3 linked regions of the Schizosaccharomyces pombe genome follow. The protein of the gene in region 1 interacts with the protein of each later gene in a pairwise test. Each region holds a gene or a part of one and is shown in the gene's direction. Other genes may lie near its edges.

The links.
Region 2: the proteins of mam2 (region 1) and rgs1 interact in a two-hybrid assay, tested with the Schizosaccharomyces pombe proteins (one study listed by BioGRID).
Region 3: the proteins of mam2 (region 1) and gpa1 interact in a two-hybrid assay, tested with the Schizosaccharomyces pombe proteins (2 studies listed by BioGRID, with this or other methods).

What each region holds. Positions count from the first base shown.
Region 1 is NC_003424.3:4,778,961-4,782,427, forward strand, and holds mam2 (pheromone p-factor receptor Mam2), read left to right. Parts: upstream 1-1,727; coding exon 1,728-2,774; 3' UTR 2,775-2,962; downstream 2,963-3,467. Other genes in the region: SPOM_SPAC11H11.03C (uncharacterized protein), read right to left, coding at 221-524, 563-707, 1,063-1,225, 1,281-1,289; protein Fta6, read right to left, coding at 3,087-3,235, 3,283-3,313. UniProt on the Schizosaccharomyces pombe protein: Receptor for the peptide pheromone P-factor, a mating factor of S.pombe. Pheromone signaling is essential for initiation of meiosis in S.pombe; P-factor signaling alone may be sufficient.
Region 2 is NC_003424.3:677,865-682,407, forward strand, and holds rgs1 (G-protein-signaling regulator Rgs1), read left to right. Parts: upstream 1-1,938; 5' UTR 1,939-2,311; coding exon 2,312-3,757; 3' UTR 3,758-4,026; downstream 4,027-4,543. Other genes in the region: Rheb GAP, hamartin Tsc1, read right to left, coding at 1-374. UniProt on the Schizosaccharomyces pombe protein: Negatively regulates pheromone signaling during mating. Acts in a negative feedback loop that is essential for the mating process. This loop acts to down-regulate cellular sensitivity to pheromone. Activated by ste11.
Region 3 is NC_003423.3:2,327,691-2,332,392, forward strand, and holds gpa1 (G-protein alpha subunit), read left to right. Parts: upstream 1-2,019; 5' UTR 2,020-2,647; coding exon 2,648-3,871; 3' UTR 3,872-4,200; downstream 4,201-4,702. Other genes in the region: sec28 (coatomer epsilon subunit protein), read left to right, coding at 1-726; SIN component Cdc14, read left to right, coding at 4,580-4,702. UniProt on the Schizosaccharomyces pombe protein: Implicated in the mating and sporulation pathway. Probably coupled to mating-factor receptors. May act in concert with Ras1.

The sequences.
Region 1 (3,467 bases):
TTAAAAAAAGTTTCAATATTTATTTGAAATAAAAAAAAAATCCTAAGGTTGCAACAAGCAAAAAAATCTAGAGCCTAAATTACCCAATAAATACAATAATGACCGAATCGAAATAAAAGATTAATACACAGACACCTGGCTAATAATTTCACCGCCTAAAATTTTGTTGACCCAATTTGGTATCCATGGTCGCCTGTGTTAACAAGCAAAAAACAAACTGTTACATGATGGCACAACATGTTTTTAGACGAGGAAAACAATTCGTAGCAATTTCTTCAACAATTTTTTCAGGCTCAACTTGATCAGTCAAAGTTGAATGTTGAGGACGAGAATATGCTTCTTGAGGTTCTTGAATGCAATTGAAATTTGGTTGAATAGGTGAAGTCGCAGATGGTAAATAAACATAAATGCGGCCTTCATTTACTTCACTGTTGTATTTTATAGATTGCTGCTCAAGCATTCGCACAATTGCAGGTCGTAGTTTTTCCACATGATTAGCACTGTGATTACCGCGCCCAACTATACTAAAAAAGAGTTAATTTTAATTAAGCGTAAAACATACATATGTAAATGATTGTCACCACGTCGGATGCAATTCTCAATTCGCTGTTGTACTGCTTGTACAGCTTCATCGATGTACAGACCATGTAAATCAATTTCATCGGGATTGCATTGAGAGTTTTTATATAAATAAATGGCTGAAGCCGCTATCAATAATTAGCACAGTCATAAAACACTTCTATTTTGTTTTCTCGAAGCCAATATGGGTTTGAAGAAACCCAGTGTTTTAAGTTCTATAAAGAAGCCAACCCATTTTTCTCTTAAATCACATGGCTTTATTCAGCTGTTTCAGAGCTCTTCACTTTGTACAAAGAATAGTTCATTGTCATAACTACTATTGTTTGGCGTATTGTCTGACCGATAACTACCGGAATTAGATACCAAACAAAAAGAGTGGAAAAGAAAGAAAGAAAAATCTCATGATGGGTTTGTTTTTCTATTATTGAAAGTTTATAGGGTTTGAACTAACAATCACAGCTTTTAATGAGAATTTGAGATTACCTTGTCGATTATAATTTTCCATACGCTCTCCACATAACTTTCCTTCTTGGCTTAGTTCATGCGCTTTAGCCTTGTTTCCTGCTGAATAGGCATGCTGAGCTTCTTGAAATAAATACCCTCGTTTTTCAGCCTCTTTTGACGCCAACGCTCTAAACTTTTCATACTTCAATAAAGTTAGTTACACCTAATTTCTCCTTATCTCTTTGATTAATAATTACCTCCTCCATTTCTATTGTTTCAGGTGTGGTACTAGACAATGAAGTTAACAATAGGAAATCTGAACAATGGAGTACCACAAAAAATGTTATATAATTCAGCTAGATCTCTGACAAAGATGAAAAATAATTTTTAAGAACTGTCTAAACAATAGTAAATCCTTTTGTTTTTTGTTTCGAATCTGTTTAAACTACAATTTTGCAATTGTTCGAACAGCATTCCATTGGTGTGTTTTGAGTCCATATATTTGGAAATTTGCTGTATATCTTCAAGCGAAAATTTAACTTTTGAGACATAGAAGTGTTTTCTGGAAATTCTAAACAAAGAGGAATTATTGGCATAACAGTTCATTGGGAAACTGAGTCATCAAGTGCTTTACAAATCACATTTTTAAACTTCTTAAACTAAAAAAATCTCGGGTTTATATTGTTCTTGCTCCCTCTGACATTATGAGACAACCATGGTGGAAAGACTTTACTATTCCCGATGCATCCGCAATTATTCACCAAAATATTACCATTGTCTCTATTGTAGGAGAGATTGAAGTGCCAGTTTCAACAATTGATGCATATGAAAGAGATAGACTTTTAACTGGAATGACTTTGTCTGCCCAACTTGCTTTAGGAGTCCTTACCATTTTGATGGTTTGTCTATTGTCATCATCCGAAAAACGAAAACACCCAGTTTTTGTTTTTAATTCGGCAAGTATTGTTGCAATGTGTCTTCGGGCCATTTTGAATATAGTGACCATATGCAGCAATAGCTACAGTATCCTGGTTAATTACGGGTTTATCTTAAACATGGTTCATATGTATGTCCATGTGTTTAATATTTTAATTTTGTTGCTTGCACCGGTCATCATTTTTACTGCTGAGATGAGCATGATGATTCAAGTTCGTATAATTTGTGCACATGATAGAAAGACACAAAGGATAATGACTGTTATTAGTGCCTGCTTAACTGTTTTGGTTCTCGCATTTTGGATTACTAACATGTGTCAACAGATTCAGTATCTGTTATGGTTAACTCCACTTAGCAGCAAGACCATTGTTGGATACTCTTGGCCCTACTTTATTGCTAAAATACTTTTTGCTTTTAGCATTATTTTTCACAGTGGTGTTTTTTCATACAAACTCTTTCGTGCCATATTAATACGGAAAAAAATTGGGCAATTTCCATTTGGTCCGATGCAGTGTATTTTAGTTATTAGCTGCCAATGTCTTATTGTTCCAGCTACCTTTACTATAATAGATAGTTTTATCCATACGTATGATGGCTTTAGCTCTATGACTCAATGTCTGCTAATCATTTCTCTTCCTCTTTCGAGTTTATGGGCGTCTAGTACAGCTCTGAAATTGCAAAGCATGAAAACTTCATCTGCGCAAGGAGAAACCACCGAGGTTTCGATTAGAGTTGATAGAACGTTTGATATCAAACATACTCCCAGTGACGATTATTCGATTTCTGATGAATCTGAAACTAAAAAGTGGACGTAACTTACGCCTGAATGTATCTTTTTTGATAATTCCTAATACTGGCTCAATAACAGTCCCAAATAACATAGACGGTTTTTTTACGATAGGCTTGTAATCATAATTTGCTCAGAGGGAAGTTTTCTAATGGTTTTTTTTTTTTCGCTTCATGAACAATTGTTTACTATAAACATCAATGAAATTATATGATTATAATAACTTATTATCATGAAAACTTCAAGTCGTACTTCACAAACACTTATTAAAACAATAGTGAATGAACTGCCTTCGTAATCTATAATGAACTATAATGTTTTGAGTCTCCAAGTGCTTACCTTACGAACTTTTTTTTTTATTTAAAGCTTCTTGTACCGTAGAAGCCATATCATTCATCGAAGAAGCTAATTCCTTTCTAAGCATCGTTTGCTTTTGTACTTTGGCCGATTGCATTAGCAGTTCTTCCAGACGTGATTTAAACGTTTCCACTATATACACGTAAGTATTGAGCTATTAAATAAAAATTATAACCAACCTGCTGACAATAAAATGTATTTATCCTCCATTTATTTTTATCAAATATTGTATCGAAATGTTTTAGCTGCGAAACGTTACACTCCTTAATTTAGTAATAGCAATATAATAAGGATCTTTAAACCGATATGTGTTATTCTCAAATTGCATTGCTCCACTTATTTCAGTAAACAGATGACAAATATT
Region 2 (4,543 bases), 4.1 Mb from region 1:
AAAATTAAAATGTAAAATAAAATACTTTTCAAGTCACTAAATACCGGTTTCAATTGGGTAGGAGAATTCAAGAAAGGAAAAAAGATCTGGTCCCACCATTCACCAACTGCTTGGCGATCCAAAATCAACAACGGTATAACCGTTTTCAACACAGCTAGCCATAGTATCCGTCGCCTTGTATTATTGAACGGCGTCTTTTCGTAGATCTCGTCCAAGATGTGTCTTATTTTTTGTGAGTTAGTGGGGTTTTGTTTGGGATAACGCTGCTGATACGACTCAACTTCCGCAATTAACTCAGTCAAATCGGGATAGCCTTCCGATTCTTCTTCATGAAGGACGTTCCATAATGCTTTGACTAGCGATTGCAGCGGCATTCGTACAAAGTTGGCAAAGTCAACGTTGATATACAACTATGCGACATTATACTGATAGCAAGTCTTGGCAGCATTGATAAACGTAACGAGGATAGCGTAGTCTGCCACATTTTTTTAATTAGTCTTTGCATTTTCAACCAAATTATACAGCGCTATCCAAAAATCCTTTAACTAGATTACATGTCAACCATACAGGTCGTAATTCGTTTTTAAGATACGATAGTACTGCAATGATATTTTTTAGTGTAATGTACATAGTATAATAAATTTATTGTAAATAGTTATAAATATCCTAAAATACTCGTTAAGAATACCAAGAAGTATTTATAATTACACTTATATAGCTAAAAATTGAATTGAGGAACGTTGTTTTAAACAAGCTTTATTTGAAGGAATCATAAGTAGTAAAGTAAGTTGTAATTTTTATCCAAATTATGTAAACATCATCTATACCATGGTACTTGATCCATCTCCAAAATTTAAAGAATGTATTAAGTATTGATTTCTAGGACTATACAGTATAGTAGGCAGTGTTCGCATTTTCAGCACAGAGGAAATACGAAAGCAAACAATGCGAAAACACATTGAGAGTTCTCTGAATAAACATGTAAAAATAAAAAGAAAACGGTTTTACTATTAAGGATTCCTAGGGAACTTTTCTTTCAAAGGAAGTTAGAGGGCAAATAATTTGAGTCGGTCTAATATTATGGTAACATATTCAAGCACTTTTAACGACATACTCTTAACTGCTATGTTATTCCACAGTGTGTTACAGTCACTTAGAGAGAAAATATTTCATTAATAAAAAAAAACTTTTATAGGGCAGGTGTAAGAAGCGTTGCAAGGCGCAAAGTAGAAAAGAATATAGTCATGGAAAAGGGAAAGCCGGTGCTTGTAAATAATTACAAACACCAATATTTTTTAATTTATATCTTAAAGTCTTCCAAGTTGGCGATGTAAAGTTTCATAACAAAAGCCATTTCATTTTCATTGCATATTTTGGGGTCATTTCAGTACCCAATGGAACTAACAGGAGAGATGCAGTGAACAACTAAGAAGTATCAAAATATCTGTAACTGTTTATAATCCTTTTTTGCTTACTTCTTTTACTTTTTGTTTTTCCCCAGTCTCCAGGAGTGCTGGGTAAGCTTTATTTACCAACCATCTGTGAATTATCCAGCCATAGCATATCTCCTTCTACTAGTTTATATAATATTTCCTTTCAAAAAATAGGCAAGCGACTGCATATCCTTGTTTAAATGTCTTATTTTGATTCTTTTTTTATTATTATTCAATCGGTGTTATCACATGAAATTTACCGATTCATTAAAACCCCTTTCGGAATAAGTTGACGAAAGGTGGAAATTGCTACCTGTTTTCTTTGTTCTGCTTTCTCACTGTTAATTTGTTGGGGTAAACAAATCAATTGCACAATGTTCTTTGTTCCGTTAAAGTTCCCATTGTTCGCCATTTAATGATTTCTTTGTTTAAAAGAAAGCGTATAGCAATGGTTAGATGGGAAACTTCGAAGTATAAATACTAAGGCATTTCCCGAATTTTCATCAGTGTGCCTATATCGACGTTTACAAAATTGCTCCAATCCTTCATTCGATTTTAAATTTAATAGGGATCAGACCTATTGAAAACAGCTGGAGACCTGATTTAGTATCGAATTACCCGTAATTGATTATAAAAATTGACGGTAATCAAGAAAGTGGGACTATTACTATATATTTAAATTTCTTTTATCTTATTTGAGTTCTGTACTTCTCTTTTATCTTTTAAAAAAATAAAAGAAACAATATTTAACACTCCATTGTGCTTGGCTGCCCGATCTCTGTCGCTTTTTCGCTTAGCAAGATCACAATTCTTTTGTTCATCACTTTATTATTTATGATAAAAGGCTACAAATTCGTAAAAGTAAGAATCAGCTTTGGATGCCCGCCCTTCATAACCCTTCTTCACCACCGCCCAGTTATGAAGCTGTTACGTCTTATCGCAACGGAAATTCAATAGATTCCGGCGATAAACGTCAACAATGTTCTCGATTAATGAAAATTACCTCTAATGGTAGACCCTATAGCAAGGACTTTTTGGAGCTCTTCTCGACGATGGTAATTTCTACGAATTTTTCTCGGAACAGGTACAGATTCTCATATGTGGAAAACTCTTGTACCTTATTGCAATTGCTTTCAACATTGGAAAATCTTCAGCTGAGTCAGGTAAACCGCATTAAAAGTAGATGCGGCAGTAAAGTCTTAAAGTCTACTACCAAATTTACGATACCTAAGACTGCTGCTAAATGTTTATGTAATACATTTTTAAATGCTCGTTTGCTGCAAATTGTAAATAACCCATCGGCTAGAAAATTTTCAAACGAAAAATGTCTTCTTCAACTTACAAGGAAAGGTTACTCTGTTGTTAGTGAGTTTCTACAACATAACGGACATAATTCTCAAGCCGAGCTTTACGCTTCCAAATGGAATCATTCTGCGCCCGTCATTGTTTCCATTTCGCGCTTTTCAAGTACCGATCAAATACTTAAGGATTCTTCTTTTTGTGAAATGTTGCTGGTACGTATGCTTGGAAGCGTCCATGAAATTGGGAAATCTAAAAACCCTCTTCTGGTACCCGTTTACTCCGTTTCAAGTCCCTCTCCAAAAGACTCCTTAAGCAAAGTCACCAAATACCAAATGTTTGGCATTGACATAGCTGAATGGCTTATGTGTAACACTATGCTCCTAGACTGGTCGGAAATGGAAACTGTTGCTAGCGATTTGTTAATTCATTCATACATTGCTTACGAAAATAATTCCGAGACTCCTTTAAAGTTTAGCTATGCAAAGGGTGTTTCCTATTTTTTGACTGGAAAGGGAATTGCGACTCTAGGATGGACTAAAAATGTCTCCAATAATAAATTAATTAATAAAATAAATGAAGTCGAAAAAGGATCCACCAATAAGGAAATCCTGGAAACCATTCTTAGAAAGCCGAATCTACAAACCTATTTCTTTGAATTTCTGAAAAAAAATTTTTGTGACGAAAATCAACGATTCTATTCTGAAGTTTGCGAATTTAATGACTATTTTTCTCATGCTAATGAAACTAATGATCATGAAGCAATTCGCGAAAGTTTTGCTCATGCATGCGGTATTTACAATTGCTTTCTTTCATCTAATGCACCTAACGCCGTCAATCTTCCCAGTGATCTTTATGAAAAAATAACCAACCATATGGCCTTAGCCATGGAAGTTGAACCCCTAAATGAATGGCTCCAGTTAATTCACATTCTTTTATTAGAGGCGCAAACAGCCGTATTAGACCTGATGGCCGGCGATTCCTTATTGAAATTTCTTGAATTGAATGGGGGGCTCGGTATTTAATGCATAGAAAACAATCGTGTTTTAAATCATTCATTAGCAGTTCCTCTTGTTTTTGTACATATTTCTTATTTGCATTATTATTTTTATTTTATCTCATTACGTGTCTATTACTGATCCTTTCCATCGCTATGCTCTGATGCTTCCGTTTTCTCGAACAAGAATCATATGCTTATGTTTCAAGGATGAACTTATAAGGCTATAAATGCTTTGCTAACATATTTGCTAACTGAGTAGAGAAAATCCGAAATGAATATATGAATTAAGCATTATTATTTTCGGTGAACATTTGAATATCGAGATGATAAATCTTGTAACTATGATCTATATAAAGATCCGAACACTTAAACGAAAATCGAATTTGAAATTAACTGGCTTAATTAAAATTTCAACCTCTTTTAAACTCTTTTTCGCCAGAAGCTTCAAACACTGAACTAACCCTCATCAAAAGAAATTGAATTTAAATAAAGTTGACAACGCCTAAAGAACATAGTCATTAACCAGCATCAGCACAATAATTTTTCATTAAATTATGAGCAATAAAATCGAGTTTAAGTGTTTACTCTACTTTTACATTTAGCTAAGGCTATATAATTTGGACAACGTATGCCATAGTAATATTTTTGAAGGTCTCAGGGTTTCTCAATTTATTTGTGTTAACCAAAAATTATGAAAATATTTAGTTGATAATCATTTATAAACCTTGTTTTTTTCACCAGATTTCTATGTTCTTGAATGGGATTAGAATCCACAGGTTACTTAATTCTGAAAATTATAGACTGAAAAATG
Region 3 (4,702 bases), on another chromosome or scaffold:
GCAAGGGCAAAATTAGCTTTAGGTGAAAGTTTAGAATCAATCCAAAGTATTTTAACTCAAAAAACGCCTGGATCAGCTGCTATTCTGGCGCTGGCTGGGGAGGGGAACATGGAGTTAATTATTGACCAGCATGGCAATTCAGACAGTGTGGTACAAACATTAGGAGCTATTTTTCAAATTAAAAATGGTTCTTTTGATGATGCAATGGATTTATTAAAGAAGTCAGTAGAGAACTTGGAGGCGGTGGCGCTTCAAGTATACATTCATTTACGAGAGCACAAAATTGAAGCTGCTGAACAGACATTGAAACAGGCTTTGGATTGGGCTGATGAAGAAATTGTACTACAGCTGGCACAATCTTGGATTAAAATAGTTAGTGGAGGCGTCGAATCCTATAATGATGCATTTTATGTTTTTGAAGAGTTAAACGGAACTGATAGCAATCCAATGACTTTAACTGGTATGGCGTGTGCAGACATATGCTTGTTGAGACCTGAAGAGGCTTTGAGCTCGCTGAAAACTGCCCTCGATTCTCAACCAAATTACGAGGAGGCACTATCAAATATGACTACTGCAATCACGGATTTAGGCCCTGATGCTCCTTCTCAAGCCAAGAATATACTTTCATCTTTTACAAATTCTTCTACACTGAAGTTGAACGATCATTTAAATGAAAAGGCGCAAGAATTTGATACTTTTTCAACTCAATTTTTGAGTACGGCTTAATCCAATAATAATATTGTTTAGAATCTTCAATCCATTAATAAACTTCAAATGTTTGCATTTTTAGTATTTATTCATTGACTATTGCTTCACTCAAGTAATGGCTCGTTGATCTGTCTGGCAAAGCAAGTCAATCCAGTATTGCCTCGATAAATTTCAAGTTTACCAGAAGTAAAGGTATTAAACTAATTAATTAGAAATACTTAACCGCATGCAGAAGAAGACTCATGTAGACATAATAACAAGAAAACGCACCCGAATATATCTCGAAATGAAACATTTAAATGAACGCCGTCACAACAGGAGCGTCTTTAAACCGTTTACTTTTATTTATCAAATACATTCATTAATTAAAAATGAACTATTATGACTATCCACCTATATATTTGTTTTTAAAAATCTAGAATAGGTGGTTCTTGTCCAAAATTACTCAAAACCTGCAGTGCCACAAAATGACAAGCAACAAGTTTGCCTTTACAAATAGAAAAGAAAGATGTTTTGAAATACACAGGTGTTTGGAATTTGGAAAAAGCAAGAAAACCGATATTAAACGATAAGACTTTAAGAATCGAAGATGAACTTGCTCAAACGGCAGTGGCACCATGACAGATTACAACTATATATGCCAACATTTGCTTAACCCCAACATGTATCAAAACTCTTTAACTAGCAAACGTTCATTTTTGCGACATCGAACACTTAAATAAGCATGTATGAACGTATCAGTTTGTAACTCTCTTTGTAAATTTAGCGTTACTTCGCTCAAAATAGTTGGATTGTTGTGTAGTATTAACACATACTACATACACGCATTTGTTGTATTAAGATTTGAATCGGTACGCAGAGTAAAAGAGATACTTGCTACTGTTCATTCTGAATCCTATTAATAAATGATGTTGAAGTTCATACTGTCAAATATTTGTACATTTTCATCCTCCCCATTCTTCCAAATTCGCACTATAGCATTGAAAGCGGGCACATATTGTGAGGATGTTGCTCTTAGAGAAAAATGCAGATGTAAATACACCGAAGTACTATCAACTTAACTTTTTAGATAAGGTCTTTGTTGTAGAAACTTCTTTTATTCGGACTGTTGACATTTGCCAGGTCCGTTGGATCACTAGACATACAAAAAAATATTCTGTTAAAATCGACAAGACACTATAAGCACGTACCAGTGAAAGTATAACGATTTCACTTTTCCAATAAGTAAAAAGCCTTTGTTTCTGTAATTGTTTCATTCTTACGAATTCTAATAGCTCGCTTACCACCTGATAGTGTACACGCATTGTAGTTACCTTTTTCAACATCTCAACTTCTTTGACGGCTTAGCAATCTTAGTATCCATTTAGGAAGTATTAAAGGAGAACAGGTATTTGTAACTCCCTTTATAGTTGGAGACCATTGCTGCTCATTAAAACCCTGGTTTCTTTGTAAATTGTACGCAATTTTGTTTTTTGGGTTGCTTTGTTTACATTAAAGGAGTTGATCCACTGATTTCTCATTCAAAAATTAAACAGTTCTTGATTTAATTTCATCTAATACCTTATCGCAACCGTGATAGTATAATAAATTTGACTGTTTACGAATACCAAAGTTTGTTTGTGTCATTACACGATTTTTCTCAAAGAATCCTCCTGGTTTTTTTAACCAAATTGTTTAAATAATAGTTTCTTTTTACTATATAATAGTATTCTTTTGGATCTCTTGGAATTATCTGGCAATTGGGTTTTTTGCTTATAGTTGGGTCCACTTCACAAATATTTGAGATTTAACGACATCTATTATTTCTTTTTTAATCCAAAAATCCTTATTTATCACCTTTTCTGCTGTTTTTACAGAAAATTGCGGAGATTAACTTTCTTTGTCTCGACTTTGAATTATCTCCTTGTGGGGATTTGGAATCTGTAGCTGCCTTTTCACCATGGGATGCATGTCGAGTAAATACGCTGATACATCAGGAGGAGAAGTCATTCAAAAGAAGCTTTCAGATACGCAAACCTCAAACAGCTCTACAACTGGAAGTCAAAACGCTCGAGTTCCAGTCCTTGAAAACTGGCTTAATATCGTCCTGCGTGGAAAACCACAAAATGTGGAAAGTTCTGGAGTACGCGTAAAAGGAAATTCTACTTCAGGTGGAAATGACATTAAAGTTTTGCTCTTAGGCGCCGGTGATAGTGGGAAAACGACCATTATGAAGCAGATGAGATTATTGTATAGCCCCGGTTTTAGTCAAGTAGTTAGAAAGCAGTATCGAGTGATGATTTTTGAAAATATCATCTCCTCTCTATGTCTTCTTCTTGAAGCTATGGATAATAGTAATGTCTCTTTACTTCCGGAAAATGAGAAGTATCGGGCAGTTATCCTAAGAAAACACACTTCTCAACCCAATGAGCCATTTTCTCCAGAAATATATGAAGCTGTTCATGCCTTGACATTGGATACCAAACTTCGTACGGTGCAAAGTTGTGGTACCAACCTCTCTTTGTTAGACAATTTTTATTACTATCAAGATCACATTGATCGAATTTTTGACCCACAATATATACCTTCTGATCAAGATATCCTTCACTGTCGTATCAAGACGACCGGTATATCAGAAGAAACATTTCTGTTAAATCGTCATCATTACCGATTTTTTGATGTAGGAGGACAGAGATCAGAGCGCAGAAAATGGATTCATTGCTTTGAAAATGTCACTGCATTGTTGTTTCTCGTTTCTTTGGCAGGTTACGATCAATGCCTTGTAGAGGACAATTCAGGAAATCAGATGCAGGAGGCGTTATTATTATGGGATTCCATATGTAACTCTAGCTGGTTTTCAGAATCAGCAATGATACTTTTTCTAAATAAACTTGATTTATTTAAAAGAAAGGTTCACATTTCCCCCATCCAGAAGCATTTTCCTGATTACCAAGAAGTTGGTTCAACACCAACATTCGTACAAACTCAATGCCCTCTTGCCGACAACGCAGTTCGAAGCGGTATGTATTACTTTTACTTAAAGTTTGAAAGTCTTAATCGCATCGCTTCTCGTAGTTGCTATTGCCATTTTACCACAGCTACAGACACTAGTTTGCTCCAAAGGGTAATGGTATCCGTTCAAGATACGATTATGTCCAACAATCTACAGTCACTTATGTTTTAGATGAATTTTTCCTTAACTATCTTCATAATCTTTTCTGTCTCATTTCTCTACTTTCATTCGCACTCTAGGAAAAGCCTCTATACTTTTCCGTGAATGGTGTCTCTAGTTAATTTCCTTGCATTTTGTATGCACTTCATGTGTTATTTCTCCATCGAAACTGTTAATTAGTGCATTCTAATTGTTTTATTTCATAGCTTCTTCGAAGCTTCGTGTAATCTTATATTGTTTTAAATAGCTCAAAATTAACTGCAGTTTTTGTTATTTGATAATTTTACGATTAATACATAACTATTGTTTAATTTAATATCTAAATTTTTTCATGTCAACCGTTTGAGACAAACTAAACCCATTGATATTAATATAATTAAATTAGGCGGATTTGATCGTAAACTAAATATAAATCTATAAGGACTCGATGTTGCTTGTTTTGTTATTTTAGGCCCCTTTTTCAAATATGGCTCCAATTCGCCTGTTAATATTCAATTGTATCCTATCTTAGCAAGCTGGTGTTTTCTCTCCCAAAACCTCAAGTTTTAGAAAATAGCAATTTAATGTAGCTGCTTCAACACTCCACCCTACTATTTATATCATTACTAAGAACGAATATAGAGTCTCTTTTTTATCTTTAACTAAACGAAGATTCAATTTACTTTTATTTATAATAAGGATTTTTATTGCCCGCTTGGCATGAGTAAATAATGATCCGGTATGGAAGATCTATTAAACAATGCTAAACAGCATTTGTGTATGAGGAATCCAAAGCTAATTCGAATTGGTTTGCGTCAAGTCGAATCTATTGTATATCATGTTGCGAAACCTAGTCATGATGAT